Sus scrofa: one gene and its partners. The protein of the gene in region 2 interacts with the protein of the main gene of each other region in a pairwise test. Links are inferred from orthologs where the notes say so. Each region holds a gene or a part of one and is shown on either strand. Other genes may lie near its edges.

Region 1 (4,463 bases), on a different chromosome or scaffold from region 2:
CAAGCCAGTGTCACCGGCTTTGGTGGAAATGAGAATTCATGGCTCCAGTGGCCGTGACGGTGGGCACAACTCGCTTCCCGAGACCCGCGGGGGCAGTTCTGGCCTCAGCCTTTGCAAAGCCGGATCCCAAATGAACGGAGCCCCGTCTGGCTCCTCCCGGGCAGGCAGCGTGAAGGGAGGCGCCTTATAAACAGGGCCTCCCACCCTCCCCCTGCACAGCTGACTTGCAGAGAAGAAAGACTCTCTTCCCACCGGGGAGAAACCGTCTGTTTAGGCCACCGTCCCCGGGGTCCCAAACCCCCACGTCTGGAAATCTGTCTCCATCTGCTCTTAAGCAACCAGAGAGCCTCAGAGGGAAAGTGTGAACTTGGGTGGAAAATTCTGGAAAAGCTACACTGAGTGGGAGTGAGAGTCGAGAGGAACTTCCACCTCTGATGTGTTTCAAACCGGGTGAGTGCCGAGACCTCTCGGTGACCTGCGTGGCTGGACTAATTACCAATGTTATCAGGCGGATGACAGACGTGCCCCGAACTTCCTCTGTTTGATAGATTCCGCTGCAAACACTCAAGTTCAGGCTCATGCCTGCTGCTTTCAGTACTGCCCTATTCTTCCACGAGGCCACTCCTGGCCTCCCAACTCCTCTGGCCTGTCACACGCTTCCGAGCTCAACCAGGTCAGCGTGCTCACTGAGCCCTGGCCGGGTGACCTGGGGCAGGGGGAGCGCCCCTCCTGCTGGACCACACGGGGCGCAAAACCCCTCTCCTCTCCAGCAGCGGTGCAGAAAACAACATCGCCTCCTTCCCTGCTCGGGTTTCAGAGGAGGACACGAGAACGGAGCTGCTTACCTTCCTCGCCGCCGCCCCTGGGGAGCTCCAGCCCGTGGGTCCCTGGCGGGTGAGCCCTTGGCCAGCACACACCAGGGTCCCGCACTCCGTGCAGGCGCCGATGATCAGCTGTCGCCCATCGTCCACGAGCAGGCTGTGGCTCGCTCGAAGGGTGTACAGAAACAAGGGCAGCCGGGCCACCCGCACGGCCTTGAGCCCGAGACACCGCTTCTTCTCCTGCTGGCAGAAGAAGCACACGAATATCTCCACTTGGTACTGCCGTGACCAGGGGCTGATGGCGTGGGGGGCGCTGCGGGCCTCGTGCTGCAGCCACTGGCCCAGCAGGTCATGGTAACAGAGCACGCAGGTGGCCACCAGGCCGGTGGAGTCGGCAGGCCTGGCGCGCGGGGCCGGCGGGTAGACAGTGAGGAAGGGGAAGAAGGGCTCCTTCTCGCCCAGGCGGCTGGAGGGGTTCACGTTGAGCTGGAACTCCTTGCCGGGGCCCAGCTCGGCCCCGCAGATGTAGCAGACGGAGGCCGGGCCACCCTGGGCCGAGGCGGGCGGCTCGCAGAGCGCAGGGTCCGAGGCTGAGAAGGCCTGGTGGTACCGGCCCAAGAAGCCCTGCACAGAGGTGATGAGCTCCTCGTTCTGGCAGGCCCGGTACAGGGCCCACACGTCCTCCAGGACGCTGAAGCACTTGGGGCAGCTGCGGACCTCACAGCGCTTGTTGGGGCCCTGGGCGTTGGGCGGGCAGGGCAGGAGGCTGAGAAACGGGAAATGCATGGAGCCCCTGGCGTTGCCGTTGAGGGTCCTGCAGGCCACGGCCCGGGCATCCCGCGTACAGTCCTCCCCGCAGAGGTAGCAGGCCTCTGGCAGGGCCCCGGCAGGCGGGCCCTCTTCCCTGGGGAGCCTCCTGCCCTTGGAGGCCATGCCGGGAGCGTGGCTGTTCAGGGGCACCACGTAGAGCCGCTGCAGGACCGGCACGTTGGCCAGTTCGAAGCTTTGCCACTGCTGCATGAGGGAGGAGAAGCAGCAGGGGCACACCAGGGTGCTGCCACCCTCGCTGATGGGCTGCGCCCCCGGGGGCGGGCTGTGCAGCCACAGGAAGGGGAAGAAGGGCGCCTGGGCCAGCTTCTCCTGCTTCTGCACGTGGATCTGGTGCTGCGAGGCCGGGGACAGCGCACACCCACAGATGTAGCAGCAAAGGCCCTCTGGTGGTGCAGCCCGGCTCTCCAGGGGAGCCCGGGGGGCACGGCCCCCGCCAGCGGCGTCCTGGTCTCTGGGGCAGCAGGGGCCTGGGAGAGGCTGCTCCTTGCGGTCCTCCTCCTCGCTGGTGATGTTGACGTCACTGTCCTCAGAAGCGCGCGTCTCCGCCAGCGGTTTGCTCTCGGCAGTCTTGGCGGCCCTGCCCAGAGGGGCTCCTTTCACGCCCTCTGCAGGGGCGCCTTGGACCGGAGGCCTTTGCCAAGGGTCCGGAAGGCCCCTCAGGACGCTGGCCCGGGCCTCTGGGGCCCAGGGCCTCCCAGCGCCCTTGCGCCGGCGCCGGATGCCGGCCCTGGGCTCCCCGTCCACGTGGAGCTTCGAGGGGATCCCGTCGTCCTCCAGGTCCCCCGGCGTGGGGGTCTCCGCGCCCAGTCCCGGAGGGGGTCCCGGCGCCGGCCTCCACTCCGGGCAGCGGCCCCCGCGAGGCCCGGGCCCGGGGGCGGCCCGCGCCGCTGGCGCCCCGTCCTGGCGGGGACTGGCGGCGTCGCGCGCGGCGGGGTCGGGCTCGGAGAAGGGGTCTGTGTCCGACAGCTCCGACAGCTCGGAATCTCGAGGCTCCTCGGGGGCCGCGCGGGGCCCGGGGCCGCCGCCGCCGTCTTCGTCGTCGTCGGCCGCGCCGCCCAGCGCGTAGGCGACGTTCCACTCGCGGGGGGCCCCGGCGCCCCCGCGGCGCCCGCCCGCGCCCGCGTCGCACTGGTGGGGCCGCTTGAGCCAGTACATGCGCTTGTCCACGGGCGTGCGGGCGCGCTCGAAGGCGGCCCACTGCTCGCCCAGGAAGCAGCGGCACACGGCGCACACCAGCACGCAGCCGTCGGCCGGGGACAGCTCGCGCGCGCCGGGCGCCGGCTCCTGCTGCTGCAGGAACGGGAAGAAGGGCTGCGCCGGGGCCCCCGCGCCCGCCGCCGCCGCCGGCTGCTTCACCTGCAGCTTCAGCTCCTTGCCGCGCCCGATGCCGCCGCCGCAGATGAAGCAGGAGAGCGGCGCGCCGCCGCCGCCGCCCGCCGCCCGCTCGCCCACGGCTGCCATGAGCCGCTGCTTGCGGGAGACCGGCGCCGGCCGCCCGCTCATGGCCGCGCCGCGCCGGCCCCCGCGCGCCCCGGGCCGCCCTCACCGCCCGCCGCCGCCGCCGCCGCCGCGCCCAACTTGGAGCATGTGTGCGCGCCGCAAAGTTTGGCGGCGGGCGGCCGGCGCGGGCGCGGGCGCTCGGCCGCTCGCAGGGGCGCCCCCCCCGGCCGGCCGAGCCCCCGGCGGCGCCGCGGCGAGCGCGCCCGGAACGCAGCGGCGGCGGCGGGCCCCGGGCGGCTGGAGCGGCAGCCGCATGTGCGAGCTCCGGCGCCTGCCAAAGCGTTGGGTCATTTAATTGGGGAGGAGGGAGGAGGGGAGGGGAGGGGAGGGGAGGGGAGGGGAAGGGCGGGAGGGCGGGAGCGCGGCGGGCGGGGGACTCCCTCCCTCGCGCTCCCTCCCCTCCCTCCCCTCCGCCTCCCTCCTCCTCCTCCACCACCTCCTCCTCCCTGCCTCCCTCCCAACCCCCCCCCGCCCCCCCCCCGGTCCCAAACTGCGCACAATAGCTCGCCGGCTCCTCTATCTATTTTGTGTCCAGCCGGGAGCCGCGCTCGGTGATTCATTGCCCCAATTAGGGGGCTCTCTCCAGCGCGCCAGGCTCGAGCCGTCTGAAGGGTCTCCTCCGGGACCCGCGAAAACCCATCAGCCGCTAGAGCTGGTCTTTAAGTAAAGGTCAGGCAGGACGCCGGAGGAGCCAGGTAAGGACGCGGCCGGCGTCCCCGGAGAGCCCGCCGAGGAAGGGCAGCTCTCTAGAGGAGGGAGGCTGCCCAGTGAGCTGGGCTGTTGCCGGCCCTCTCCCCATTCCAAAGGGTCTCAGCACCCGCCCCCCACCCCCATCTAAAGGGCCCTTTACAGCCCTGAGGAGTCCTGGATCCGGGGTATCTTTCAGGGCCCAGGGTTCTAATTTTGGTGACAGGGAAGAGGGGCTGTCTCCTGGTGGCCTGAACACCTTAGTGAATGCACCAGCCATCCTGGGGACAGACTCGGCTGCCCCGCCCCTCCCCACTGCTGGCCAGGGACAAAAAGGGTCCCGTGTGTCTAGGCTGTGTGTTCCAGGGCGATGACTCAACAAGTCTGGGCCTTTCAGGGGATTAACTGGTTCCAAGTCACACGTGTAGATCATGTATTTCTTAAACACACAGAGAGAGACCTTAGCATGCGCCAGGTGCAGAGTCTAAGCAGTTTATACACATCCTCTCGGTCGCTCTTTTCAGTAACTCTGGGTTAAGTGCCACGATCAGCCCATTGCACAGATGACAATGAGGAGGCGGCGAGCATTAAGGTGTACGCTTCGGGAGCGGCGGACCTGGGATT
Region 2 (4,533 bases):
AGCAAGCTATCAGGACATCAGGGAAGGAAGCAGGCTCGCTTAACTATAAAACCATAAATAAAAGCACAAGATATGCCTCAGGTCATTAAGTGAAAGATAAAATGAGGCCTGCACTCAAGTTCAGCAAGATAATGCTCCTTAGGGCTAAGGACTGGAATGTAAGGGAAAGATAATATTTCAAAATAGGAGACCCTCACTCTATGGAAACCTGAGATTATTCAACATATTTTAGCATATGTTACCACCCTTCGGCTGATTTGAATGAACACCAAGGCAGTCCTAGTTTGACGTCATAGGGTCAAATACTCTCCTACCCAATACAAAGGAGGAGCTAGTGATGTGAGCCTGAGGTCTACCTGAAGGATGAGGAAGAAGGTGGTCTTCTCCTACTCCCCACTTTCCTTGGATGACAAAAATGTAGCCCACCGAATTCTTGGAGAAAAGCCTCCTCACCTGCCTCCTCACAAGCATCTTGTATCTTAATAAATCTATTTCTTGCCCATCACTTTGCCTCTCAATGAATTCCTTCCTTCTGCCCTGAGGCACAAAGAACCTGAGCCTCAGTAAGTCCAGACACCAGGGGAGTGATTCTAATTAAAAAACTGTGGGTTCAAGTCCCAATCTGGGTTTAGCCTGGGTTTGAGTCGGAGGTGTTTTGGTTTCAAGTGTTCTACACAAGGCAAAGTTAAAGAAAGTCTAGATAGAAAATAACCAAGTACTAGAATTTCAGGTTCTACGTGAACATGGGAAGCCTGCTGGTAAAGAGAGAGTGATGTCGCCAGCTTGTTTGGGTTAGGAGTAGGCCTTGTAGAGGGCTGCAGAGAGTATAGCTTGAGCCAGAGGCAGAGAGGGAACTGAAGCTCAGAATGGTAAACCATTCTGCTTAGGACAGTAGGAAGTAGCAGAACTGGGCTTGTCTGTTTCTGTTACAACAATCTTGCCTTCTGATAATTAAGCCTTTCTTTTCCGAAACAAAATTGCGACTGCCTGTTAATGGGGTTGTTAGACAAAGCTTCTCACAGACTGGGTGGGGCTCAGTGGGCTACCCCCCACCCCTCCGGCCTCCCAAGGAGGCCAGATGTCTCCTCTTCCCACGCCAACACAAAGCTAGCTTTCTCTCGCCGTTGCTGAGGCCTGGGCACCAGGCAGGAAGCCCAATAAAGGACTAGGGGGCTAGGCCCAGGGCCACGGAAACTCGAGTGGGCCTGGCGCGTGCAGGCAGGGGCTACCCTGTCTCCGTCGCGCCCCGCGGACACCGCCTGCCTCGGTTACCTGCTCCTGAGGCTCCCCGCCCGGTCAGCCCCAGGGCAGCGGGCAAGGCCTCCCAGGTCCTAGGAGGGGAAAACTGCCCAGCCCTCAGGCCAGAAAATCGTGCGGCGCCGGGTGGCTCGGGCCAAGCCCCGCCCCCGCCCCGCCTCTTCCGCTCGCGCCGGGGTGGGGTCTGTGCGGCCGCCGGGACCCGCTGGGACAAGGCCACGTTGTCTCGCGCCTTCCTAGCGCCCGGCTCCTGGAGTCCGACTGGCGCAGCCTCTGGTTCGCGACCCCCTGGCGTAGCTGTCGGGCTTCGTGGGGCCGAAGTACCCCCACGTCATTCGGCTGGGCCCCGCGGCCCGACCACCCCCGGTTCCAACGCGCGGGCGCGTCTGGGATCAGGGCCCGGGAGGCGCCGCCCTCCGTCAGCCGGGCTCGCCTCCCCGCGCCGCCCCGAAGCAGCGAACGGGAGGGAAGAGCCGTAGAGTTGGGCTCCTCGCAGGGCTGGGCTCAAGGGCCCATGCCCGTGCGCCCCCGCGGGCCCGCGCCATGGCCTCCGGGAGCGTGGCCGAGTGCTTACAGCAGGAGACCACCTGCCCCGTGTGTCTGCAGTACTTTGTCGAGCCCATGATGCTGGACTGCGGCCACAACATCTGTTGCGCCTGCCTCGCCCGCTGCTGGGGCGCGGCGGAGACCAATGTGTCGTGCCCGCAGTGCCGGGAGACCTTCCCGCAGCGGCACATGCGGCCCAACCGGCACCTGGCCAACGTGACCCAGCTGGTGAAACAGTTGCGCACCGAGCGGCCGTCGGGGCCGGGAGGCGAGATGGGCGTGTGCGAGAAACACCGCGAGCCCCTGAAGCTGTACTGCGAGGAGGACCAGATGCCCATCTGCGTGGTGTGCGACCGCTCCCGCGAGCACCGCGGCCACAGCGTGCTGCCGCTCGAGGAGGCGGTGGAGGGCTTCAAGGTGAGGGCCGGGCGCGCGGGCCGGGGAGGGGCTGGAGCGCGAGTCGGACAAAGGGAGTAGAGAGCCAAAGGGGCTTCCTTTTTTCCGCCTAGAAAATGGCTGAGCCGGACGTGTGGTTCACAGCCGTCATTTCCTCTCTGTCTGCTCCAGAGCCTCGGCACTCAGATTTGGGAGGAAAACCTGTAGCTGGTGAGGAAGCCAGAAGTCTCCCCACCCCCACTCTTCTTTCCTTATGTGCCCCTCTGTTTCCCCGCTCACCGGCACGGCCCATGGAGACCCCCTTCCCTTGACTGTACAAAAGGAATGCGTAAAACCATGTACGCATCTGCAAGCTTCAGAGACACTCTTACTCCTGATGGCTCCTAGATGATCTCAGACACGACACAGTCGGACGTTAACTGGCTGTATACACATCTAGCAGATGGCCATCACCTCTCCTTTCCCCACCACTTCCCTATGCTCCATCTTCTTCTAGAAGCTCACGGAAAAATGAGCTCCTTACTGCTTAAGTCAGTTAACCACCGTGAGACTCAAAGGAGGTAACACAGTTATGAAGATTGAGTGAAGTGAGCTGATGTGTGGATCCCTTTGTAAACTCATGAAACAGCAGACGGGCGCAGCTAAACAGTAACATGGAAACAAAGTATTAAATATAAAACAGTTGTAAGGCAACATTCAAGGAGTGCATGATCTGTGTGTTTGAGGACTGCAGGAACATGTACATGTTTGACTGTGAGTACATTCATGCAAAATTATTCACTTAACATTTATAATGCTTTCACATCATTTTACTCACCCTGGTGATAACCCTCCAGGAGGCTGAGAAAGCGGTGTTTGCCCATGTCAATAAGAAAATAAGAGCTGTTAAATCTTCTCAGTATGCGACTGTGAAAGAGCGACAACTCAAAGCCACCTAGTCCAGTCACCTTTCCACTAAGCCGTGGAGTATCCTTACCCACCATTTAAGATACAAACTACCAAAAGAGAAGTGTGGTGACCTCTGTGCCCTGGTGACGGCAGTGTAGTCCAAGGACGGACTCTAACCAGGGACTTGGCATCAGAAATGTGGGTTGCACATGTGATAAGCAGAGTAGCCATATTGATGCTAAGGTCTGCCTAATCTTGAACTGCCCAACTGTTTTTGCTTTTCTCAGGAGCAAATCCAGAACCAGCTGGACCATCTAAAAAGAGTGAAAGACTTAAAGAAGAGGCGTCGGGCACAGGGGGAGCAGGCACGAGCTGAACTCTTGGTAAGACTCGATACACAGATAATGTCAGTTCTGCTGGTCACTCTTTTTTTTTTTTTGCAAGGCTTGTGCAGTCAGGTCATCCAGGTTTGGGTGGAACAAGCTTACATAGCAGGTGAGAATTCACCTGGAAAACCAAGAAATTACTACATTTTGGAGGAAAGGTGGGAATAGCTGAGTTTAAAACCCCTGGAGATAAATTTAATCCTCTAGCTTTGTGTAGACCATGATTGATCCTTGACAAAGCTGATACAGGTGAAATTCTTGGGTGGTTAGCCTCCTTTGGTACCATTCTGCAGACAGATGGTTTTCCATGAGCCCGACAGTTAACTTCTTGCTAGAAAGTTCCTTTTCTTGGCAATGTTTCAGTTCTAAACTTTTCACTTTGTTTCCTTCCCCTATCATCTCAAGGCCTTAGCAAGTGGCTGATGTGCTAATTTGTGATAGGGATGTTTGGGGGTTTTGTTCTGAAAAACGAGACAAAAATATGAAGATTTTTATAATATATACTTATATGTCCAGCACCTAGGTGTTTTCAGTATCTTTTTGAACAATAAATAAAATATTACAAATTCTCACTCATTAGAAGTATTTGCATCTGAAAAGCAAAGTCTTAGACTAGTAGTGTCTGGCACCATCTTGTGAGAAATTTTGTCAGTCCCGGACAGGGTATAGTAAAGAATTTTTGGATTTACTATACCAAAAATAGTATAATGAAACTTACTCTCACGATGCCATAAAATCCCATCACTTGTTTTGCACACAAAATCCACTGAGACGTCAGCTCCCCTGCTTGAAAATAGATCTGATGGGTGGAGAATCTTCTGGTAAACTTGAGTGGACTCAAATAATTAAGCATACAAATCAAGGTTATTTGAGGACCATTGTAGACATTTTGGCTGTGTGCTCCAGATCATCCTCCATGGGGCACACGTCAGACCATGTGACTTCCCTGCTAGTCTTTCATGGCTCCCAGTTGCTGTTAAGTCCTTGCCCTTTAGCTTGCCAGGCTTCAGGGCTCTTACCTTTTTCTAGCCTCTTCCCCAGCACTTATGTGCTCCAGCCA
Region 3 (3,845 bases), on a different chromosome or scaffold from region 2:
ATGCCAGATCCTTAACCCACTGAGGGAAGCCAGTGGTCAAACCTGCATCTTCATGGATACTAGTCAGGTTCTTAACCTGCTGAACCACAACGGGAACTCCTGTATGCTGATTTCTTTTCAACCTACAATAAATTTCACTGAACTGAAATTCCTGGTCTGACCATGAGATCATGGACCATTTGGGTCCCAGCTTCTTGAGGATTAGAAGCTACTAGCACACATAAATAAAAATGACAAAAGCCCTACTTTGGTGGGACATGAGAAATCAGGAACCATCTTAGCTTTCTGCTTATTCACAGAATAAGACCTAGCAGTGTCCGGCACACAGTAGGTGCTCAATATACTTAGGCAATGAGTGAGATACTGAAAGAAAGGAACTGACTGAGATAGAGTCAAAGGAAGCTAGAACTTCTCTGTGGAATATTTACTTACCAGTGTGTCAATCTCCTCCAAGATCTTCATAAACTGCTCGATGGTGGCTTTTATTCTCCTATCAAGTTTGCAGAGAGCTTCTGCTTGCAAATCCTTGGCCAGAAAACCCTGTGGAAGAATGACACATCACTGCAAGGGTTCTCTGAGGCTGGTGAAAACGCTAAGCCAAGCAGCCACAGCCCAGTCCACACTCCCCAACAGGCTGGGCCAGACGTCAGGCCCACAACTTCACCTCTTGGGAAAAACAGAGAAGCTAGCCCTGAGCCACCCCAAACACTGCCAATAGGCTGCTGGCCATTCTATCTGACGTGGCACACTGAGGCTGCAAATGCCCCAGGATGCCTGGCTCTGGCAAAGCCCCTGTCACCAGTGTATACTCATATACAAGAGGCCCACACAGAAGAGGCAGATGTTAAAAGCATAGGGTTTATGGAGTTCCCGTTATGGCTCAGTGGGTTAAGAACCTGACTAGTACCCATGAAGATTCAGGTTCGATCCCCGGCTCCAAGTGGGTTAAGGATCTGGCATTGCTGTGAGGTGTGGTATAGGTCACAGATGGGGCTCAGGTCTGGCATTGCTGTGGCTGTGGCATAGGCTGGTAGCTGCAGCTCCAATTCAACCCTACCCTGGGAACTTCCATATGCCACAGGTATGGCCCTAAAAAGCAAACAAACAAACAAACAAACAAAACACAGGGTTTAGAGTTTGACAGGCCTGGGCTTTAATCCTGACTACTCCTCAGCATGGCCTGTGATTTCGAGCAAGTTCCTTAGCCAGTCTGTGCCTCAGTGTTCTCATTTTAAAATGGAGATCATAAGCAATGAGATTCTGCTGTATAGCACTGGGAAATAAATCTAGTCACTTATGATGGAGCATGATAATGTGAGAAAAAGGAATGTATATGTGTGTGACTGGGTCACCTTGCTGTATAGTAGAAAATTGACAGAGCACTGTAAACCAGCTATAATGGAAAAAAAATAATAATTAAAAAAAAAGTTTCCTGGAAAATAAATAAAGTGGAGATCATGATGCCCACACCCCAGAGGGTTACTGTGAGGATAAAGAAAAATACATGTAGAACTTTATTTTTTTTAGGGCCACACTCACGGCATATGGAGGTTCCCAGGCTAGTGGTCGAATAAGAGCTGCAGCTGCTGGCCTATGCCACAGCCACAGTAACATGGGATCCAAGCCACATCTGTGACACACACTATAGCTCATGGCAACGCTGGATCTTTAACCCACTGAGCAAAGCCAAGGATCGAACCTGCATCCTCATGGACACTAGTCAGATTTGTTTCTGTTGCGCTGCAATCAGAACTCCAACTTTTTTGGGGGCTGTGCTTACAGCATGTGGAAGTTCCAAAAAATCAGAAATGGTCAGGAGCTACCATTGTGGTATAGGGGAAACGAATCTGACTAGGAACCATGAGGTTGTGGGTTCGATCCCTGACTTTGCCCAGTGGGTTGAGGATCCAGCATTGCCATGAACTGTGGTATAGGTCACAGACACAGCTTGGATCCTGCATTGCTGTGGTTGTGGTATAGGCCAGCGGCTACAACTCTGATTGGACCCCTAGCCTGGGAACCTCCATATGCTTCAGGTGCAGCCCTAAAAAGAAGGAAAAAAAAAAAAAATTCAGAAATGATCAAAAAAGGAGTTCCCATTGTGGCTCAGTGGTTAACAAATCCTGCTATGAACCATGAGGTAAGGTTTGATCCCTGGCCTTGCTCAGTGGGTTAAGGATCCAGCATTGCCGTGAGCTGTGGTATAGGTCACAGACGCAGCTTGGATCCCGCGTTGCTATAGCTCTGGTGTAGGGCGGGGGGCTACAGCTCCAATTAGACCCCTAGCCTGGGAACCTCCATATGCTGTGGGTGCAGCCCTAGAAAAGACAAAAAATAAAATAAAATAATAAAAAAATAAAGAAATGGTCAAAAAAGATTTATGTCTAAGGATGATTGCACATAATGGTAAAAGAATACTGGGTGGTAAGTAATAGAGAAGTGGTTAGGTAAACCATGATACATTCATATGACATAATATGAAATATGCAAATTTTGAAAAGTGTGATCACTTTTTTCCAGTTAAGACTTTTTTTTTCTTTATTGAAGTATAGTTAATCAATAATGTGTTAGTTTCAGGTGTACAGCAAAATGATTGGGTTAAGTATGATCATTTTTAATAACATAAGAAAAAGTTCAATTTTTTAAATGAATAAAAGGAATTTAAAGGGTTCCTAACATGACACCAATTTTTTTTTTAACTGGAAAAATAGATTCCAGTTTTTAGTAACAGTCATCTTTGAGTTAGGTCTTAAAGGTAATATTATTTTCCATTCTAGTATACATATGTCTATTTAAAAGTAAGGTACAATCAGCATATATGAATTTTGTAATGAAAACACATATATATCCATTAATGTTATAAAATGAAGGGGTCAAAAATACGTATGTGGTTTGGGCCTGTTCCTAATCCTTATTTGGTTTCATTACTCCACCTCTAATATTAGGGGAATTGAATAGGATGACCCCACCACACCACCACAAGATCATGCTCAACTTGGACCTTCTTTGAATCAACTGAGAGAAGCTACTTATTCTATTTCAGGCAATGCATGAACCTAGCACAGCAGGTGTTCTGCCAGGAGCACAAATGGATGCTGGCTGGGGTTTGGAAATAATAATAATAATAACACTTATAAAGCACTTAGTCAGAGGCTCAAACTATGTTATTTAATCCTTATAACAACCCTAAGAGGGAGGTACCATCAATACTCCCTTTTTACAGAGGAGGAACATGAGACAAAGGCGAACTTGCCCACTGTAACAGAAACGGTAGAGCCAAGATCTGAATCCAGGGAGTTGGACAACAAAGGCATCCTTGTAACCACACATTTGTATCTCTAGAGAGTTCACATAAAAGGAAGAAAGTCAAAGTCCACAGACAGATTTACCTGCTGGATTCCAGTAAGCTCTTTATTCAACTCTTCCAGTTGGTGAGCTATCTTCTCCACAGATCTCTCCAAATCTTTCAGCTTTTTTAGTTCTACTTCTTCTTCTGAACTGTTCTAAAATATGTAAATTATTATTATTGTTGTTGTTTTTGTCTTTTTAGGGCCGCACCCTCGGCATAGGGAGGTTTCCAGGCTAGGGGTCCAATCAGAGCTATAGCCACTGGCCTACACCACAGCCATAGGAATGCAGGATCTAAGCTGCGTCTGTGACTTACACCACAGCTCATGGCAACACTGGATCCTTAACCCACTGAGCAAGGCCAGGGATCAAAAAACTGCATCCTCATAGATGCTAGTCATGACAGAAACTCCTAAAATATTTAAGATTAAAATGAAGTCAATAATCACCAGACAGGTACCTTCCTCCACTGTTGGTGGGAATGTAAACTGGTACAA
Region 4 (3,845 bases), on a different chromosome or scaffold from region 2:
CCCAAAGCCCACAGCTGACAGCACGTAGGAGCACCGCAGCCCGGGGGAGTCTCGAACCCCCTCCCCAGTCAAGCCCAGTTCATGGCCACGTGGGGCCCTGATCACACATTTCTGTGCCCAGGGACCACACAGGCTGGCTCAGTGCCCACACCCTACAATTCTTTCCTCGTGTGAGTGGCACATGTGTGTTCTTGGACACACATGGGGAGACGGGGTGGGGGATCAGCGTCCCTGAGGTCACAACCGGGCCCCGAAGTTGACCATCTCATAAAACTTTAAAAAGGTGACTTTTGATAGTTCTCTGGTGGCTCACTGGGTTGAGGACTCAGCGCTGTCACTCAGGTTTGATCCCTGACCTGGGAACTTCCACCTGCCACGGGTGCAGCCAAAAAAAAAAAAAAGTGTGATTTGTGATTTGAAGGGTATATTTGGACCTGTGATAGCTGGAGTTGTGGGCACCTCTCTAAGAGCCTCTTGCCTCCAGCCTTGCCCCTGGGACCCATCCCCGCCAGGGGCCACCCCAGTGAGCACTCACAGCTTCCCCTTGGCTCCAGCTCCTGGCTCTTGGTCACTTCAGCCTCACCCCCAATTCCCACGTTCAAGTTCTGAATCCTGAGTGTGGCATTCAAGGCCACCATGACCCGTCCCCGAGCCACACTGTCGGGGTTCCTGCAGCAGGCTCCTCTCAGTCTTCCGGATTCTGAGACGGGGGTCTGGCCTCTGAAGGGTCTTCCTGGGGTCCCCGGGTCAGTTGGCATCACAGTGGACAGTCACCATCTGCTGCCCTGTCTATTCCCCTTCTGTCTGGGGGTCCCCGAGGCAGAGGCCCAGGCCTGACTGCCACCAGCAGCCCCCCCTTTATAGGAAGCTACCAAGCAAGCTCTCTGTTTCGTGGGAAGAGGGGAGGACACCAAGTCAGCGCCTACTGTGTGCCCTACTGCGCCAGGCCCGCTTCAGATGCGATTTTATTTCATCTTCTCAATCTGCCTGTATCTTTTGAGGCAGGTATTCTCGCCATGGAGCCGCTAGGCAAACTGAGTCTCAGGGAGGTTAAAGCATATGCTTAAGGTCACGCAGCCTGTAAATGAGGATGCTGGTGTTTGAACCCAGGCTCTGGGGCCTCCAAATCCCATACGCATTTTCCTCCTCTGTCACCGACTAGTTCTCCGGCGGGATCCTAAGCCTGGGGAGGAGGGACGATGGCCAGGAGAGCAGCCCCAGGCTCAGTCTCATCCAGAAAGTTCCGTTATCTCTGACGCTGAGGACCCCAGCGGGGAAGCCAGAGGGGAGGGGAAAAGGGCCCCAGACGCCACCATCACAGGACCATGTCCGTCAGCCGTGCCCTGGCTGAACCAAGGACTTCCGCCTGCAGAGGGGCGGGCGCATCAGCTACCCCCTTGGGGAGACCCCTCCCCAGCTGTGCACCCTGCCTCCTCCTTGTGGGAGGCCCGGCGAGAGCCCAAAAGGCTGACAACTCAGGGACCGGGATCCTGGACCCCTCCAGCCCCCAGAACCTGGGGTCACGGGCTTAGCTGTCAATGCTGCCCAGCGCCCCAGGCAGGCTTTGTGGGAGTCTCCCCAGCAGAGAGCATCTCCTGGGGGGGGAGCAAGAGGATGGGGGTGGAGAGAGCACGCTGGGGCTGAATAGCCACATGTGTGTGCCGCCACGTGGGAGTACGAGAGAATGAGGCTGAGCGCAAAGAAAGAGAGAGAAGGAGACAGACAGACAGGCAACCTGCAGTCCCACCCAACGCCCAGCCTCCCCTGCAGCAGCCACGTGATCTGGCTGCCTTAGGGCAAGGGCTATTCCAGGCTCTCCCATCCACATCCAGGATGCACGTGGGACAAGGACAGCCAGCCTGGGGGCACCCTGAGGACTGGGCAGAAGTAAGGTGGGAGTTCCCGCCCAGCCACAAGAAAATGAACAAGCTGCTGCCTCTCTAAAGTAAGTCATTTCTTTACCTAACGGGCTAAGGGCTGTAATGGCCATGCGGTGGCCCAGCCTGGCCCATGGAAGTGAGGGGCTCCCACTCGGCCCAGGCCACTCACCTTCAGGAGGCCGATCTCCTTGACACAGTCCTGCCTGGCCTTGGCATCCATCATCTCAAATATCTTGGGGGAGAAAAAAAACAGAGAAAGAGTGGTTAAAACCTAGCACCCAGCACCCCCAGTCCGGGTTCTCCCACCTCCTTGCTGAGGGAACCCTATAAGGACAATGATTTGGGTTATTGAGTTTTTACTACCTGCCAGGGGCGGTTTTCACCGAATCATCACTGTACCTCCCATGAGGCAGGAGATACGGTCACCAACTTACAGAGGAGGAGAGCGAGGCCCCAGAGAAGTGCAGTGACTTGCTGAGGTCATGCACTGGTAAGTGGCAGGCAGGAAAACACGCTTGAAGCCTCAGTCTTCACCTCTGTAAATAGGGCCAACAGCCTGGGCTCATAGGGCGGTTGTGTGGACTGAGTAGGAAGAGGGGGTACAGTACACGGCCCCTGACGCCCCAGCCCCTTTAGTGTTCACTCCGCGTGGGTCCTCCCAGCACCTGCTAAGACACAGGAGGTGGTCCCTGCAGCAGCCCCACCACAGAACCCATCCTGGCACTAAGAACCAACACCAGAGAAGCCCAGAACCGACCAGAGAGGGCCAGCTGGCTGCAGAGCTGCGTCTCGGCTTCCCCTTAGCTCCCTTGGGCCCTGCTGGGTCACCCACCACCTCTGAAGGATGGGATGGTGATCCCTACCTAGAAGACTGCGGTCAAGGTTCGGGGAGCTCTGGCACCACCCAGTATACAGCAGGTGCTCAGCGCATGCTCACTGCTCTTCTCCTTTATGGTTCACTCCACCTGATCCTCCCAGAGCCCAGTGGGCGAAGTGGGTACTAATTTCCCTCACTTACAGAGGAACGGGAGAGAGTGGGGCGGGGAGGGCGAGGGGGACAGAAGGACAGAGAAGGGACAGGGTGAGCCCAGAAGTACAGTGTTTAGACACGAGCCGGCTGCCAATGGGGTTCTGCCCCCACGGAGCGGTGGGCTCACCTGCACCTTCTTCAGAGCCACTGTCTTCCTGTCCAGCAGGCAGGTGGCCTTGTACACCTCGCTGAACTGGCCTCGGCCGATCTTCTTCTCGATCTGGAAGTCGGCCAGCGAGCAGCGAAAAGACAGGGCATTCGGGTGCCTCTGGAGGAGAGGTACAAGAGGGCACTGGTGACGAGCCAGGCAGACTGGAAGGCTGGGACCCGGGGGGGGGGCAACGCCCCCTCCAGGCCCCTCATCGCCAGCTCCACTCTCAGAGCGCCCCCGTGGCGCTCTCCGCACCCGCTCCACTGGGTCCCAATGACCCCACTGTGCAGATGGGGCTTCCGCCACAGCACTCGTCACCGGCCCTCAGCATCTGGTCACTGCTCCCTTCTCCATCCCCGGAAGGCAGCTCCATGGGGCCAGGGCCTCACCTGCCTGTTCACTCCTGAGTCTGGCTAGCAGAGCAGGTGCAATAAACATTTAAGGAGGTGACTCTCCCAAGTCACCCAGCGGAGGGGAGGCCCTGCGGGGTTTCTCTGGCCCCGTGGCCTCCACGTGCAACCGCAGCCCTAAGCCTGCACGTCATCGTAAGCAGCAGCCACGTCCCCTCCAGGGATGGCCATGCCCACCTCAGAGATGAGAAAAGGAGAGTTAAATTTGCAGTCTTACACGCTGAGCCCATTCTTTGGATCAACTGTCCCCTTTCTGGCAATGGGAAGAATCCGGAGACCTCATGATGACCCACTAGGGACCAGCACTGACAGCCACGATGAAACTCAGCACTTGTTCGGGGGTGGAGCCAACAGATGAGGCAGCAATGGCCAGG
Region 5 (3,845 bases), on a different chromosome or scaffold from region 2:
CAGGAAATCCTGGGATAGGGCAGTTTTACATTCTTGTCCTGGGTGCTTCTTATCTTCCTGGGTGCTCTTTAGACATTTGGGAGGTTCCTTCTGGGCAGTGCCAGCCTGAGTGAGGCCTTGGGGTTGCTGGTCCCCAAGGCTGGCCTGTTACTGTGAGCTGGGACTAGTGGTGTGAGAACAGAAAACAAAGCTGGGATTCATTCATTTAAGATTACAAATGGGGGAAAACCATGTCCTTAATGCTTTGGATTTGTAGTTTGCTCAGTAAATATGACAATAGGAAAAGTTATTTTCAGTAAATATGTGAATCTTAATTTTTTAAAAGTCGTGAAGTGTTTCAAATATTTCAAAAAAGTACCAGAAATGGGACAACACACTTATGCCTGTACCACTGAGGTTAACAGTGAGTACATGTTTCCAAGGAGCCTGAGAGTGGGCAGAAGAGTTCATTCCATTCTTTTCTTCAGGTATTTCTTAAACCATTGTTAAAATTGTAGTGAAATAGTCATAAAGCTTTATGTAGTAAAATAGACATAGCAAAGCTTACCAGTGTAATTATTTTTAAGCATACAATTCAGTGGCATTAGTTACATTCACAGGGTTTTGCAACCATCACCATCATCATCTCCAGATCAAGCTCATGTTCCCAAACTGAAATCTTGTATCCATTTAACAGTGACTCCCGTGAACAATAATTGTTTAAAGGGAGAGGTATGTTGGCCATTGTTGACCTGATGCAAAAATAAGTGGAAGGATTTGAACAAACTCCATGGGGTTAATTGTTTGGCAGAATCCCGCCAGAATCCCCAGGCCCCTTTGAGGTGTTAATCATAGGTCTTCCTGTTGGACATTAGGATTTTCTGCTGATGGAGAGCATGAGCTGCCGTTTATTAGACTCTTTACAGCTTCTTATGGAAAGAAGAATCATGTAAGGATTTCAGTTTCATTGGCCCCAAAGTAATCATTATTTTTATTAGGTTGAAAACATGATTTTGGATAGCTTGTGGGTTTTTTTGTTGTTGTTATTCATTTACAGTTACAAAATTGCATTTAGATGCAAAGAGAAATATTTGGGAGTTTTCCTCGTGGCACAGTGGAAACTATCCAACTAGGAACCATGAGGTTGAGGATCCACCGTTGCGGTGAACTGTGGTGTAAGTCTCAGACGAGGCTCGGATCTGGTGCTGTGCCTCTGGTGTAGGCTGGTGGCTACAACTCCAATTCAGCCCCTAGCCTGGGAACCTCCATATGCCTCGGCCGCAGCCCTAAAAAGACAAAAAGACAAAAAAAAAAAAAATATATATATATATATATATATATACATACACACACACATACATATATGTACATATATATGTGTATATATGTATGTATGTGTGTGTGTGTATATATATATATATATATATATATGTATTTGAAAGGACAGTCACTAAAAATGTTAAGAAGGATTATTTCTTTTGTTTTTCTTTTTCTTAGGGCCTTTCCTGTGGCATATGAAGTTCCCAGGTTAGGGATCAAAATTGAGTTACAGCTGCTGGCCTACACCACCGTCACAGCAACACCAGATCCGAGCCTCATCTGTGATTTACACCACAGCTTATGGCAGCACTGGATCCTTAAATCACTGAGCAGAGCCGCATCCTCATGGATGTTAGTCAGGTTGGTTTCTGCTGAGCCACAACAGGAACTCCCAGGATTATTTCTTTTTTAAAAATATTTTTCTTTTTTTGGCTGCAGCTGCCGGCCTACACCACAGCCACAGCAGTCAGATAGGAGCTGCATCTGCCACTTACACCACAGCTCACGGCCAGGGATTGACCTTACATCCTTGTGAATACTATGTCAGGTTCTTAACCCACTGAGCTACAACAGGATGGAGGATTGAAAATTATTTTTACTTCCTTCTTTGCTTATCTTTATTACTGAGGTCTTTTACAGCGAGCATGTATTACTTATCCTCTGAAAAATTCTACCATGTTTGGGGCTGTAAATTCATTATCTAAAAAAATTGGATAATGAATTCACAGCCAGATGTGGAGGCTCTTGTGGAGCTGGAGGGTTGTCCACTTTCTTAGAGGGGCCTGGCAGCCAGGCCTTTCAGGCCCCATCCCTTGTCTCTGCTGATTTCATCTCAGTAAAGGTTTCTACAGCTGAGAAAGGCTAAACCCAGAATAGGTTGTACCTCACGTTATCTTCAGTTATGAAATTCTGAGTCTTTTGTTTTTGCCCTCTGAAGAGTATATGTGCAGGGGTGAAGTTCAAAATATCTAATAAAGGTCAGTACCGTCTGTCAGAAATGTGGGCTGCAGCAGGCCCTGGAGCCTCCAGCTGCCAGTAGCCAGTAGCTGGCACAGTATTTTGTGCTGCCTTGTGAGTGTTGGAGGGAGACTGGGTAGAGGCTGCTTAGGGCAGTTGCTCCTTATCCCAGCTCAGCCACACATCAGCCTGGCATATGTAACACACGAGATTGAAATCAGTGCTACTCATTTACTGAAAGCAAAAAAGGAAGTAAAATTCTGTGCTAAGAATATTCCAAGATGTTATTCTTCCTTTTCCTGCTCCATTCCTCGCTATTCCTACTCAGAAGACAGAACAGCCAACATTGTCCTCGGGAGTCGATCATCCCCGTTTGTGCTTTTCTCCAGCCTTGTTTCTTTGTGTTTCAGGTGGTCATGTTGGCGATGTACAACCTGTCTCTGGAAGGGAGTGGAAGGCAAGGCTACTTCAGGTGGAAAGAAGATATCTGTGCATTTATTGAGAAGCATTGGACTTTTTTACTAGGGAATAGGTAATGTGATTGTAAAAAACTTTATACTTGAATGAAGATGCAAAGGATAAAGTTTGTGAGATTTGAGGCACCCTAATGCAAGCCTTTAGAGGATGCGAGTATTTACTTGTGGCAATTACTGAGTATTTTTTAATCCAAACAGTTTTGTTACTTTAAGTTAAAAATCAGAGTGGGTGTGTATAAAATTACAAATCTAGATTTCGATACTTCTTAATGCTACTTTCAGAGGAAATTGCTGGTTTCTACTGAGCAAGAAGACATTTGAACAGATTCTTAGGATGTTAAAAAATAGAGAGTTTGATTAAATGAGGCTGTTGTTGTTGTTTTTGGCTGTTCCCACCACGTGTGGAAGTTCCTAGGCCAGGGATCAAACCCATGCCACAGCAGCAGCTTGAGCCACTGAAGTGACAATGCTGGATCCTTAACCTGCTGAGCCTCTCGGAAACTCCAAATGAGGCTGTTTAATAGTTGGTTGATGGAGTTTCTTTTGTGACTTAGTTGGTTAAGAACCCAACTGGTATTCATGAGGATGCAAATTTAATCCCTGGCCTCACTCAGTGGGTTAAGGCTCTGGCCTTGCCACAAGCTGTGGTGTAGGTCACTGTGCAGCTTGGGTTTGGTGTTGCTGTGGCTGTGGCATAGGCCAGCAGCTGCAGCTGCAAGTCAACCCCTAGCCCTGGGAACTTGCATATGCTGCAGGTACAGCCCTAAAAAGAAAAGGAGAAAACGGTTGAGTGACTAACTTGAGGATAGAGGATTATTATGTCCTTTAAAGATCAGTGCCTTATAGGAGGTCAGAAGAAGAGACAGAGGCAGTAATTGACTGCACTCATTCCAGTTGCTCTTTGTTAATTAGTATTTGTCTTTAGTAATTCTGGCAGGTAGAAACCACTGTGTACTCTTTGGTCTTCACAGTGCTTCACCAAGCCTGGGCATATTAACATGCACCCAGTTTATTCATTCATTTCTCTTTTCATCATTACTCCTGAGCGCTCCACCTCTGTGACTCCTCCCTGGTTCATCAGACTTAGGGAGGGATTCGGGGCGCAGACATCCG
Region 6 (3,893 bases), on a different chromosome or scaffold from region 2:
GGCCTGGACCCAGGGGATAGGCTGGTGGGGGCTTAGGGGCAAAAGCCGAGTGAGGTCAGCGGGAGGGGTGGAGGCCCCCGTGCGGAGAGGTTCTGTCACCGAACAGACTGGGAGCGGGCCTCAGGGACAGGCGCCCTATCCTGGAAGGGTCCCCACCAATAACCTGCAAGGGAGAGGGGGCGCCAGGGATGTCCTGAGGCTTGAGGAGATTTCCGGCTGGGGCAGAGGTCGTGATGCTTAGGTTCCCAGGGAAGGGAGCGAAACCTCTGGGCAGTTCTGTCCAAGCTGAGACCAGGGCGAGGGACGGGGCTGGTGACTCATCCGGGACAAGCGGTTTGTTCGGTCCGGGTCCTGGGCCTGGGGGGCGCGCCCCGCGCAATCTTCGCACCTTCCTGCAACTCTTCCAGCCTTCCAGTCCGGACCCCCGATCCCGCGCCCTGGCTCCCCGCCCACCCCGCCCCCTCCCCGCCCCCTCCCCGGGCGGTCGGGGCGTCACAAAGTCCCCATGGCAACTCGCGGGGCGCCGGGCGGGAGGCTGGAACCGGCGGCTCCGCACGCACACACAGTCGGACCGCACTGCTCCGCCGGCGCCGGGAGGCCGGGTAAGTGTGCGCGCGGGAAGGCTGGGCGCGCGGGGAGGCGGCCGGGGGTTGGAGGACGAGGGGGTTGTGGCGGAAGTGGGCGGGTTGAGGGGAAGTGGGTCTGAGGCCAGGGGTGGGGGGTGGGGGTCGGGGTGGGGGGGTGTAGGTGTGGACAGGCAGGCCAGGGGCCAGGGCAGGCGGCTTCTTCCCCGAGTTCCCCAGCGGCCCCTCTGCGGTTTTCCAGCTAGAGACTTGGGCCCTGGCGAGGCCTCTGAACTGAAGCCAGATCTGGAGCCTCTGGAGGCGGCATGAATCTGTCCCAGGCTCCAGCCAGCGCAGGACTTTGCCAGGAGTCCAGGGGTCTTGGTCTGGGTTGGCAACTCACCCCAGACATCCTCTCTGCAGTGCCCAGGGCCTGGTCCGCCGCCTCTGCCCCTGGAAGGTCAGGGCCTGGCCTTTGGGGAGGGAGACCGACTTGGGTCCCGAGCCCACTCTGCACCTTAACCGTGCAGCCTTGGATGGCTGCTCAGCCTCTCAGCTCCTGTTAGGGATTCTCCCACCCAGGTGAAGCCACTGGGTCTGTCTCACTGACCTGGAGGCCAGCTGGGACCGGGGACAGCAGCCAGGGAGCCCCAGCCTTGTGGCCAGGGACTGGGGCCACAGCCGTGCCCAGCTGTGGGTTCACCAGGCATCGTTGGACACTCAGCTGGGAGCCCGCGTGGGAGAGGGTGCAGGAGGAGACTCGGGTTCTGGCGTCTGTGGCTGCGGCAAAGCCTGGACGGAGAGCAAGCTAGCGAGCTCTGTAGCCCCATGCACCCCCTCTGTGAGGCAGGGTGCCAAGACCTCACCATTTGGGGCTTTGCTTGTGGAGTCAGCTCAGCAAGGCGCCCGAGGCCCCAGGACACAGCCGGGCCCGGGAACTGGCAGGATTATTCCCCTGGGTGAGGCCAGGGGCCACCCACCTCCCTGAGCTCGGCTCTGCACCTACAGAGAGGCAGGGAGGGCCTGCAGCACAGAGGTGTCCCCACGGGTTCGGGTGCTGCTCAGACAGGATCGCCCTGGGTCCTCCCAACTGCCCAGGGGAGCAGATGTGGCCTCACAGCTGCTCCGTGGGGGTTCCCCGTGGGGGGTTCTGGCCCAGAGCCCACGGTCACTGCCCTGCCCTGTGTCATCACAATCCATCAACAGAGTGTCACACCCTCAAGTCCACTTTGACCCAGATGGGCAGCCTGCCCACTTGGCCCTCCAGACAGCCTCGTTCCAGAAACCAGCCCTCACCCCAAACTCCTTCCCCGCCTCCCACCACCAGCCCCCCAGGCCAGGGAGGACAGAGGGCCCGGCCGGGGGGTCAGTGGGCCTGAAGTCACCCCCCACACCAACGCTGCCCCAAGAGAGCCCCCGGGTGGGCAGCAGAGGCCAGTGTGACTGTTGCAGCTCACGCCCCGCCCTCCATCCCCTGCTCCCAGACCATGAACTTCCAGGTATCAGGCCTGGGCCTGGACAACATGAAGCTGGACTGTCCCCAGTCCTTCCTGGACCAGGAGGAGGAGGCCGAGGAGGCCGAGGATCAGCAGCTGCTGGAGCCGGAGGCCTGGCGCACCTACGTGGAGCGGCGCAACGCTCTGCGCGAGTTCCTGACCTCGGACCTGAGCCCCCACCTGCTCAGGCGCCACCACGCCCGCATGGACCTCCTCCGCAAGTGCTCCTACTACATCGAGATCCTCCCCAAGCACCTGGCTCTGGGCGACCAGAACCCGCTGGTGCTGCCCTCTGCCATGTTCCAGCTCATCGACCCCTGGAAGTTCCAGCGCATGAAGAAGCTGGGCACCGCCCAGACCAAGATCCAGCTTCTGCTGCTCGGGGACCTGCTGGAGCAGCTGGACCACGGCCGCTCCGAGCTGGACGCCCTGCTGGAGTCGCCCGACCCGCGGCCCTTCCTGGCGGGCTGGGGGCTGGTGGAGCAGCGGCTGGCGGACCTGGCGGCCGTCATGGACAGCTTCCTCGCCATGATGGTGCCAGGGCGCCTGCATATCAAGCACCGCCTGGTGTCTGACGTTGGCGCCGCCAAGGTCCCGCACATCCGGCTCATGCTGAGCACCAAGATGCCCGTCGTGTTTGACCGCAAGGCCTCGGTGGCCCACCAGGACTGGGTCAGCCTGCGCTGGTTTGTCACCATCCAGCCGGCCGCGGCAGAGCAGTTCGAGCTGCGCTTCAAGCTGCTGGACCCGCGGACCCAGCAGGAGCGGACACAGTGCGGGGCCATCCCCGTGGCCGCCTGCACCGTCGCCGTCCGAAACCTGCTGCCCAACCGCTCCTACAGGTTCACCGTCAAGAGGGCGGAGAGCTACACGCTGGTCTACGAGCCCTGGCGGGACAGCCTCACCCTGCAGACCCGGCCAGGGCCTCCCGAAGGGCCCGCTCCCGGCCGGCTGGGCAAGCTCAGCCCACCCCTGCCCACACCTTCCGAGAGATGATTTTCTAATATTTATCCACTAATAAAGAGGAGTATAAACGCACACACACAATTAAAGAAACAAACCTGCTTACGTTCGAAAGGCGGCAGCAGCCACGTGAGTGTCTTTCCTGACGCAGCCCCAGGCCCCCCCACTCCTGCTCCCTTCTGCGGGGGGAGCCCCCGCTGGCCGCTCCAGGAGCCCAAAACCCTGGAGCGAGAAGTCTCAGCCCTGGCATGGGGCTGCCACCACCAGGATGGGAGCGGCACCAAGGCTCTGCCCCCCACCCCCTGCCCCGGGGACTTGTTGGCAGCACCCCCACCCCTGGCTGTGGGGACAGTGGAGCCCCGTCACAGTGCCGCCTTGGGACCTGGCGCAGCCTCCGGCTCTCTTTCCTGCCCCCTAGCCTGGGGCTCCCGGGGGGAGGCCTGTACCCTGCGTCCCGCCCCAGCACTGCTGCCCTCAGCGTCACTGAGCCTGCGGCCGAGGCCAGAAGGACATTCTATTTTTTGTTTTTTTAATGAAAATAAAAGTCTTGTCTTCTCCCCCAAAGAAGCGGAAGTTCATCTGCACCCCATCCCAAGGCGGGGGAGGGGCCTGGCAGGGAACCCTGCCTGGCAGGTTCCCCCCGATACAGGCCAGTGCACAGCTCCTGTCGGGGTCACCCCACCCCCCCAGCCCATCGCCCCGGGCCACCCTCCACGGGGTCATGTGACCTCCGGCTCGGCCAGCAGCGCCCCCACGCACACGTCCACTTCCTGAGGGGACGCGGCCTTCGGTCTACCTGCTCCCGCAGCGCGGGCCTGTTCGGGGCGGCCCCAGGTATGCGGGCTATGGCCAAGGAGGACAGTCAGCTGGA
Region 7 (3,845 bases), on a different chromosome or scaffold from region 2:
GATTGTAGTCTGTGGGGAGCTGCAGCTGCTGCTTGTTATGTTGGATGTGAAGGGTTACAGAGGGTCTTCCCTTTCCAATCTGAGTGGCAGCTGACATGGGGTACCATCACAGGGACTCCCACCTCAAAGTCTAGCAAGGTGCCAAGCTCCCTTGCCACCTTCCCCTGATCCACTTTTCTCCTTCCTGGTCTCTGTGGTTGAGGGGGTGAGGCCTGGGAGAAGCGAGGTGACCCCAGAGATTCTTCTGAGTGTTTGATTGTGGCTGTAATGTGTGTGCCCATTAGAAGACAAGAAACCAGAATCGCTTTAAAGGAAGGGCTTTATGTGGTCTGTGTACGTGGTCAGACAGGACCCCAGGCAGTTCCGTGATGGCCACGCTGGGATGCTGGGCTGGTGTGTTGTTCTGGGTCCCCACACCAGCAGGCGTTATTGTTCCCGGGGCAGTGGTTGGTTCTCCAGAGGATCTGTTGAGGAAGAGTGACTTCTTCAGTGACCCTTGCCCCATAAGCAGATAGCCCCTGGGGGAATGGGATGAGACCTTACCCCTCTGAGGCAATGTATCCCTTCCAGTCCACCCAGAGTATCTACGTACCCCAGAAATCGACATCATCGTATACCTCTGTTTCCCTGGTGGAGAGCACAGTTGGGTCAGCAAGGGTCACCCTGACCCATGACAACCCCCACCCATCAGGGCCAGTACTCACAGGGGCAGGAGAGCTGTTCTGGGCACGTAGCCATCTGTGAAGAGAGAGCAGGGATGGTGAGTTCTCTCTTCCTGATGGTGACCCATCCTCCAGGGCTGCCTGGGTTGAGCTCACTCACACTTGCCCTTGGTGTCCCGGCATAGCATCTCCTCCTTGCTGGTGAACTCAATCACCTCCAAGATCTCCCCACGCCGAATTCCCAGATGCTTGCCACCCCCACGTCGTGTTTTGGCATTGGGGTCAATCATCATCCTAGTCAGAATCACGATCTCCCCCTCAAACTGGGGAGGAAGAGGTTAGTGTTTTCGCCTGTGCTGCCACCCAGAGACTCCCCGGCTGCTTTCTAAGGATGGAATTCACTGGGCCTTGGTCAACCGGAGCTGAGCCCAGCCCTCCCAGGACTCTTGCTTTGCGTGGGGTTCATACCTTGAACTTCTTCCGGAACTCCCGCTCAGCTTTCTCTGCCTTCCGGATCTGCTTCAGGGACTTTAGGTCCTCGGGTGGTGACTGCTGTTGCTGGGGCGCCTTCTTCCTGAGCCCCTCAAGGAATTGGGTGCTTGTGAGCAAGATGTGCTTCTGGGAGACACCCCTTTACTGTCCTCCCAGGGCTCAGCCCCGCCCTGCCCCACTCCCTTTGCCCTGTGGTACCTGGGCTCTGGGTCTTGTGGCCTCTTGGGGGATTGCTGGGTAGACAGCACTTCATCTGGGACAGTCAGAATGCCGACTTAGGGCAGGGCCCCTTGGTTTGGTCTTTTGACCTACTGGCTTGATCTTTCCTGTGTTAATTCTCATGACAGGGGGTAGGGGAGTGGGCAGTGGGGGCCCTCCCCTCCCCTTTCCCCAGGCCTTTCTCATGGGTTGTGAGTTCTCTTTCATTTTCTTAACTCCTATCACATGTTAGGTGTGGGAGAAACTGTTTATCCCTCATGTCAACTCTATTGATGACTGTCATCCCAACTTGCTCAGGATGAAGTAAGGGTTCAGAGAGGTAAGAGAGTCTGCCCAAGGTCACCCAGCTGTTAAAGGTAGAGGCAGGATTTATCTGTGAGCTTTTGATACTGTTTCACTCCTGCCTGGTAGAGGAGGTAAGGTTTTGGGAATTGTGATGTGGGTCAAAAAAATAAGTCAGGAAGAAAAAACCCATTTTCTAGAAAACAAAGGTCCACCTCTGGAAGGAGCTGTTGGGAGGGGTTTCTTGGGTTGGCTTGGCTGATAATGAGACTCTGGACTGTACAGGTCTCCTGGGTGAGGCAAATAGCCAGCTTTCCAGGTATGAGCCCTGCTCGCCCAGGGTCTGGCTTACAGTGAGACCCTCATGAACCCCAGGTGAGTGAAGGATCCAGAACCTGAAGCCACCAGCTTTTTGCAGTCCTTTCTGGATAACTGGACCTTTCAGGCCAGCAGAAGCTCCCCTCGGACTGCCTGATGGGTATTTGCATGGCACGCTCCCACCCCTCCAGGTGCTGTGCTGGATGGCCTCCACCCACCGTCCCCCCCCAGAACACTCCCTCTCAAGCTCCTCTTATCTCTCCCAGATATTCACTCAGCTGGGAGCTGGGAGTGGACTTGACTTCACCCTAGAGCCCCTACAAACCTGCCGCAGCTGGAGAGCTCAGGGCAGGGCAGACCCTGGTGTGCCCATGTCCCCAGCCTCCTGGCAGTGAGATCCTGAGCTATCTGCCCTCAGGTCCTGGGAAAGAACTGGGCCGGACCCCTCCAGAGGATCTGTTCAGGGAGCCTCTAGTGGAGCTGCCACTGCTCTGAGTGAGGCATGGGGGGGAAGCCCAGAGTTCCTTCCAGTTGGGGACAGACTTGAAAAAGGCAAAGCAGCCCTTGGGACAATCCATACCACCAGTGAGCTCTACTCAGTGTCTGGAGAAGGGAGAGGAGGTCTAGGGAAGCTCGTGGTATCTAATGGCGATCTCGAACAACTGGCATGAGATGGGGAGATGGTTGCCCAGTGTCTAGGATGGTGGGCAAAGGTAGGGATGTGCCCAGTCTGGGGTTGGGGGTGAGCCATGCCTGCAAGGCTGCTGGAAGTGGAGTGGCCAGAGGTACTCCTGCCACACATCCACATCCCCAAGCGTGGCCCGAGCCACAGATCCTCGCTGGGGCGGAAGCAGGAGGGGCCCTGTCAGGAAGCTCTTTGCTAATCCGGGTGTTGCAAGCAGCCCCTGGGGAAAGCCTAGGAGAAGCAGCAGGGGCCTGGGAAGGAGTAACAGCTGTTGAGGCAGCAGACTTTGAGGAGAGGGCTGGTGGGGAAGGAGCAATAGTATCCAAAAGGCACCCTTGCAGGAGACCCAAAGACAGGGCAGGGAAGCAGCCTGGGAGCAGAGGGCTGGGCTACCATGTACTGGCCGTGTGAGCTCTTGGGGCAAGTCACTTCTTGTGTCCTCTAGCTTCCACTTCTGTAGTATGGGCATGACCCCACCTCGGGGGTCGTGCACATTCTGGCAAAGTGCTGGCACAGGAGCCATTTTTGTTTGTACATGAGGTTGCTGAATGCATTATCCTCACAGCTACGGCTGAGTGGCCTCCGTTCTGCTCTCCAGGAGCAGAGGCTCAGAAGAAAAGAGAAGGGTCCAGAGTGCAGAGAGTTGCCTGGGACTGCAGACCCAGGGTCTGTCACAGCCTGTCTCCAGCCTGTGCCTCTGATCTCAGGCTCAAGTCCTACACGTCCCTCAGGCATCTCCTCCAAGACCACAGATCTAAGATGGGTCCTGATGCCTATCTTACTCTGTACCCAGGTGCAGGCTCAAAATTTGGGCCCCATCCCTGTCATGAACTCTCTTGCTCTTGTCCTTGGTGATACACCACCAAGTCCTCTTGCTCCTTTTTGCCTGATTCTTCCACTGCTCTCCATGTCTCCTGCCACCGCCCTGGGACACACCCCTGCCCTGCCATACCACACCATGGTCTGTCTGCTGGCCTCTGGGCTGCCCTTCCCCACCCTGTTCCACCCATCAGGAGCTGGCCTGACCTTTCTGAAATCAGGCGCACCTTTCTGCTCTCTCCCTGGCACTATCCTTTCAGTCCATCAAGGATATGGATTGTCACTGGGCCTCACACGGGCAACATGGCAGAAAATGCCCTTGTGATGTCTGTTCCCCAGGTGCCTTGGCAGACTGGTCTGGCTAAGGG

Evidence for each region.
Region 1: the proteins of TRIM27 (region 2) and GSE1 interact in binary tests that used the Homo sapiens proteins (3 or more experiments, as listed by UniProt). The link is inferred for Sus scrofa from reciprocal best matches to the Homo sapiens genes TRIM27 and GSE1.
Region 3: the proteins of TRIM27 (region 2) and BAG1 interact in binary tests that used the Homo sapiens proteins (3 or more experiments, as listed by UniProt). The two-hybrid records come from large-scale screens. The link is inferred for Sus scrofa from reciprocal best matches to the Homo sapiens genes TRIM27 and BAG1.
Region 4: the proteins of TRIM27 (region 2) and NEK6 interact in binary tests that used the Homo sapiens proteins (3 or more experiments, as listed by UniProt). The two-hybrid records come from large-scale screens. The link is inferred for Sus scrofa from reciprocal best matches to the Homo sapiens genes TRIM27 and NEK6.
Region 5: the proteins of TRIM27 (region 2) and KAT14 interact in binary tests that used the Homo sapiens proteins (3 or more experiments, as listed by UniProt). The two-hybrid records come from large-scale screens. The link is inferred for Sus scrofa from reciprocal best matches to the Homo sapiens genes TRIM27 and KAT14.
Region 6: the proteins of TRIM27 (region 2) and FNDC11 interact in binary tests that used the Homo sapiens proteins (3 or more experiments, as listed by UniProt). The two-hybrid records come from large-scale screens. The link is inferred for Sus scrofa from reciprocal best matches to the Homo sapiens genes TRIM27 and FNDC11.
Region 7: the proteins of TRIM27 (region 2) and PRAM1 interact in binary tests that used the Homo sapiens proteins (3 or more experiments, as listed by UniProt). The link is inferred for Sus scrofa from reciprocal best matches to the Homo sapiens genes TRIM27 and PRAM1.

Annotation. Positions count from the first base shown.
Region 1 is NC_010448.4:3,654,486-3,658,948, forward strand, and holds the start of GSE1 (genetic suppressor element 1), read right to left. Parts: upstream 3,080-4,463; 5' UTR 2,808-3,079; coding exon 846-2,807; intron 1-845.
Region 2 is NW_018084804.1:137,851-142,383, forward strand, and holds the start of TRIM27 (zinc finger protein RFP), read left to right. Parts: upstream 1-1,418; 5' UTR 1,419-1,800; coding exon 1,801-2,220; intron 2,221-3,374; coding exon 3,375-3,470; intron 3,471-4,533. UniProt on the Homo sapiens protein: E3 ubiquitin-protein ligase that mediates ubiquitination of various substrates and thereby plays a role in diffent processes including proliferation, innate immunity, apoptosis, immune response or autophagy.
Region 3 is NC_010452.4:33,233,836-33,237,680, reverse strand, and holds part of BAG1 (BAG family molecular chaperone regulator 1), read right to left. Parts: intron 3,504-3,845; coding exon 3,390-3,503; intron 541-3,389; coding exon 433-540; intron 1-432. UniProt on the Homo sapiens protein: Co-chaperone for HSP70 and HSC70 chaperone proteins. Acts as a nucleotide-exchange factor (NEF) promoting the release of ADP from the HSP70 and HSC70 proteins thereby triggering client/substrate protein release.
Region 4 is NC_010443.5:265,133,856-265,137,700, reverse strand, and holds part of NEK6 (serine/threonine-protein kinase Nek6), read right to left. Parts: intron 3,179-3,845; coding exon 3,038-3,178; intron 2,113-3,037; coding exon 2,050-2,112; intron 1-2,049. UniProt on the Homo sapiens protein: Protein kinase which plays an important role in mitotic cell cycle progression. Required for chromosome segregation at metaphase-anaphase transition, robust mitotic spindle formation and cytokinesis.
Region 5 is NC_010459.5:26,491,446-26,495,290, forward strand, and holds part of KAT14 (cysteine-rich protein 2-binding protein), read left to right. Parts: intron 1-2,666; coding exon 2,667-2,788; intron 2,789-3,845. UniProt on the Homo sapiens protein: Component of the ATAC complex, a complex with histone acetyltransferase activity on histones H3 and H4. May function as a scaffold for the ATAC complex to promote ATAC complex stability. Has also weak histone acetyltransferase activity toward histone H4.
Region 6 is NC_010459.5:62,556,634-62,560,526, forward strand, and holds FNDC11 (fibronectin type III domain-containing protein 11), read left to right. Parts: upstream 1-1,660; 5' UTR 1,661-2,050; coding exon 2,051-3,055; 3' UTR 3,056-3,328; downstream 3,329-3,893.
Region 7 is NC_010444.4:70,809,259-70,813,103, reverse strand, and holds the end of PRAM1 (PML-RARA-regulated adapter molecule 1), read right to left. Parts: intron 1,408-3,845; coding exon 1,353-1,407; intron 1,245-1,352; exon of another isoform or gene 1,237-1,244; coding exon 1,131-1,236; intron 986-1,130; coding exon 823-985; intron 739-822; coding exon 705-738; intron 628-704; coding exon of another isoform or gene 593-627; intron 465-592; coding exon 281-464; 3' UTR 245-280; downstream 1-244. UniProt on the Homo sapiens protein: May be involved in myeloid differentiation. May be involved in integrin signaling in neutrophils. Binds to PtdIns(4)P.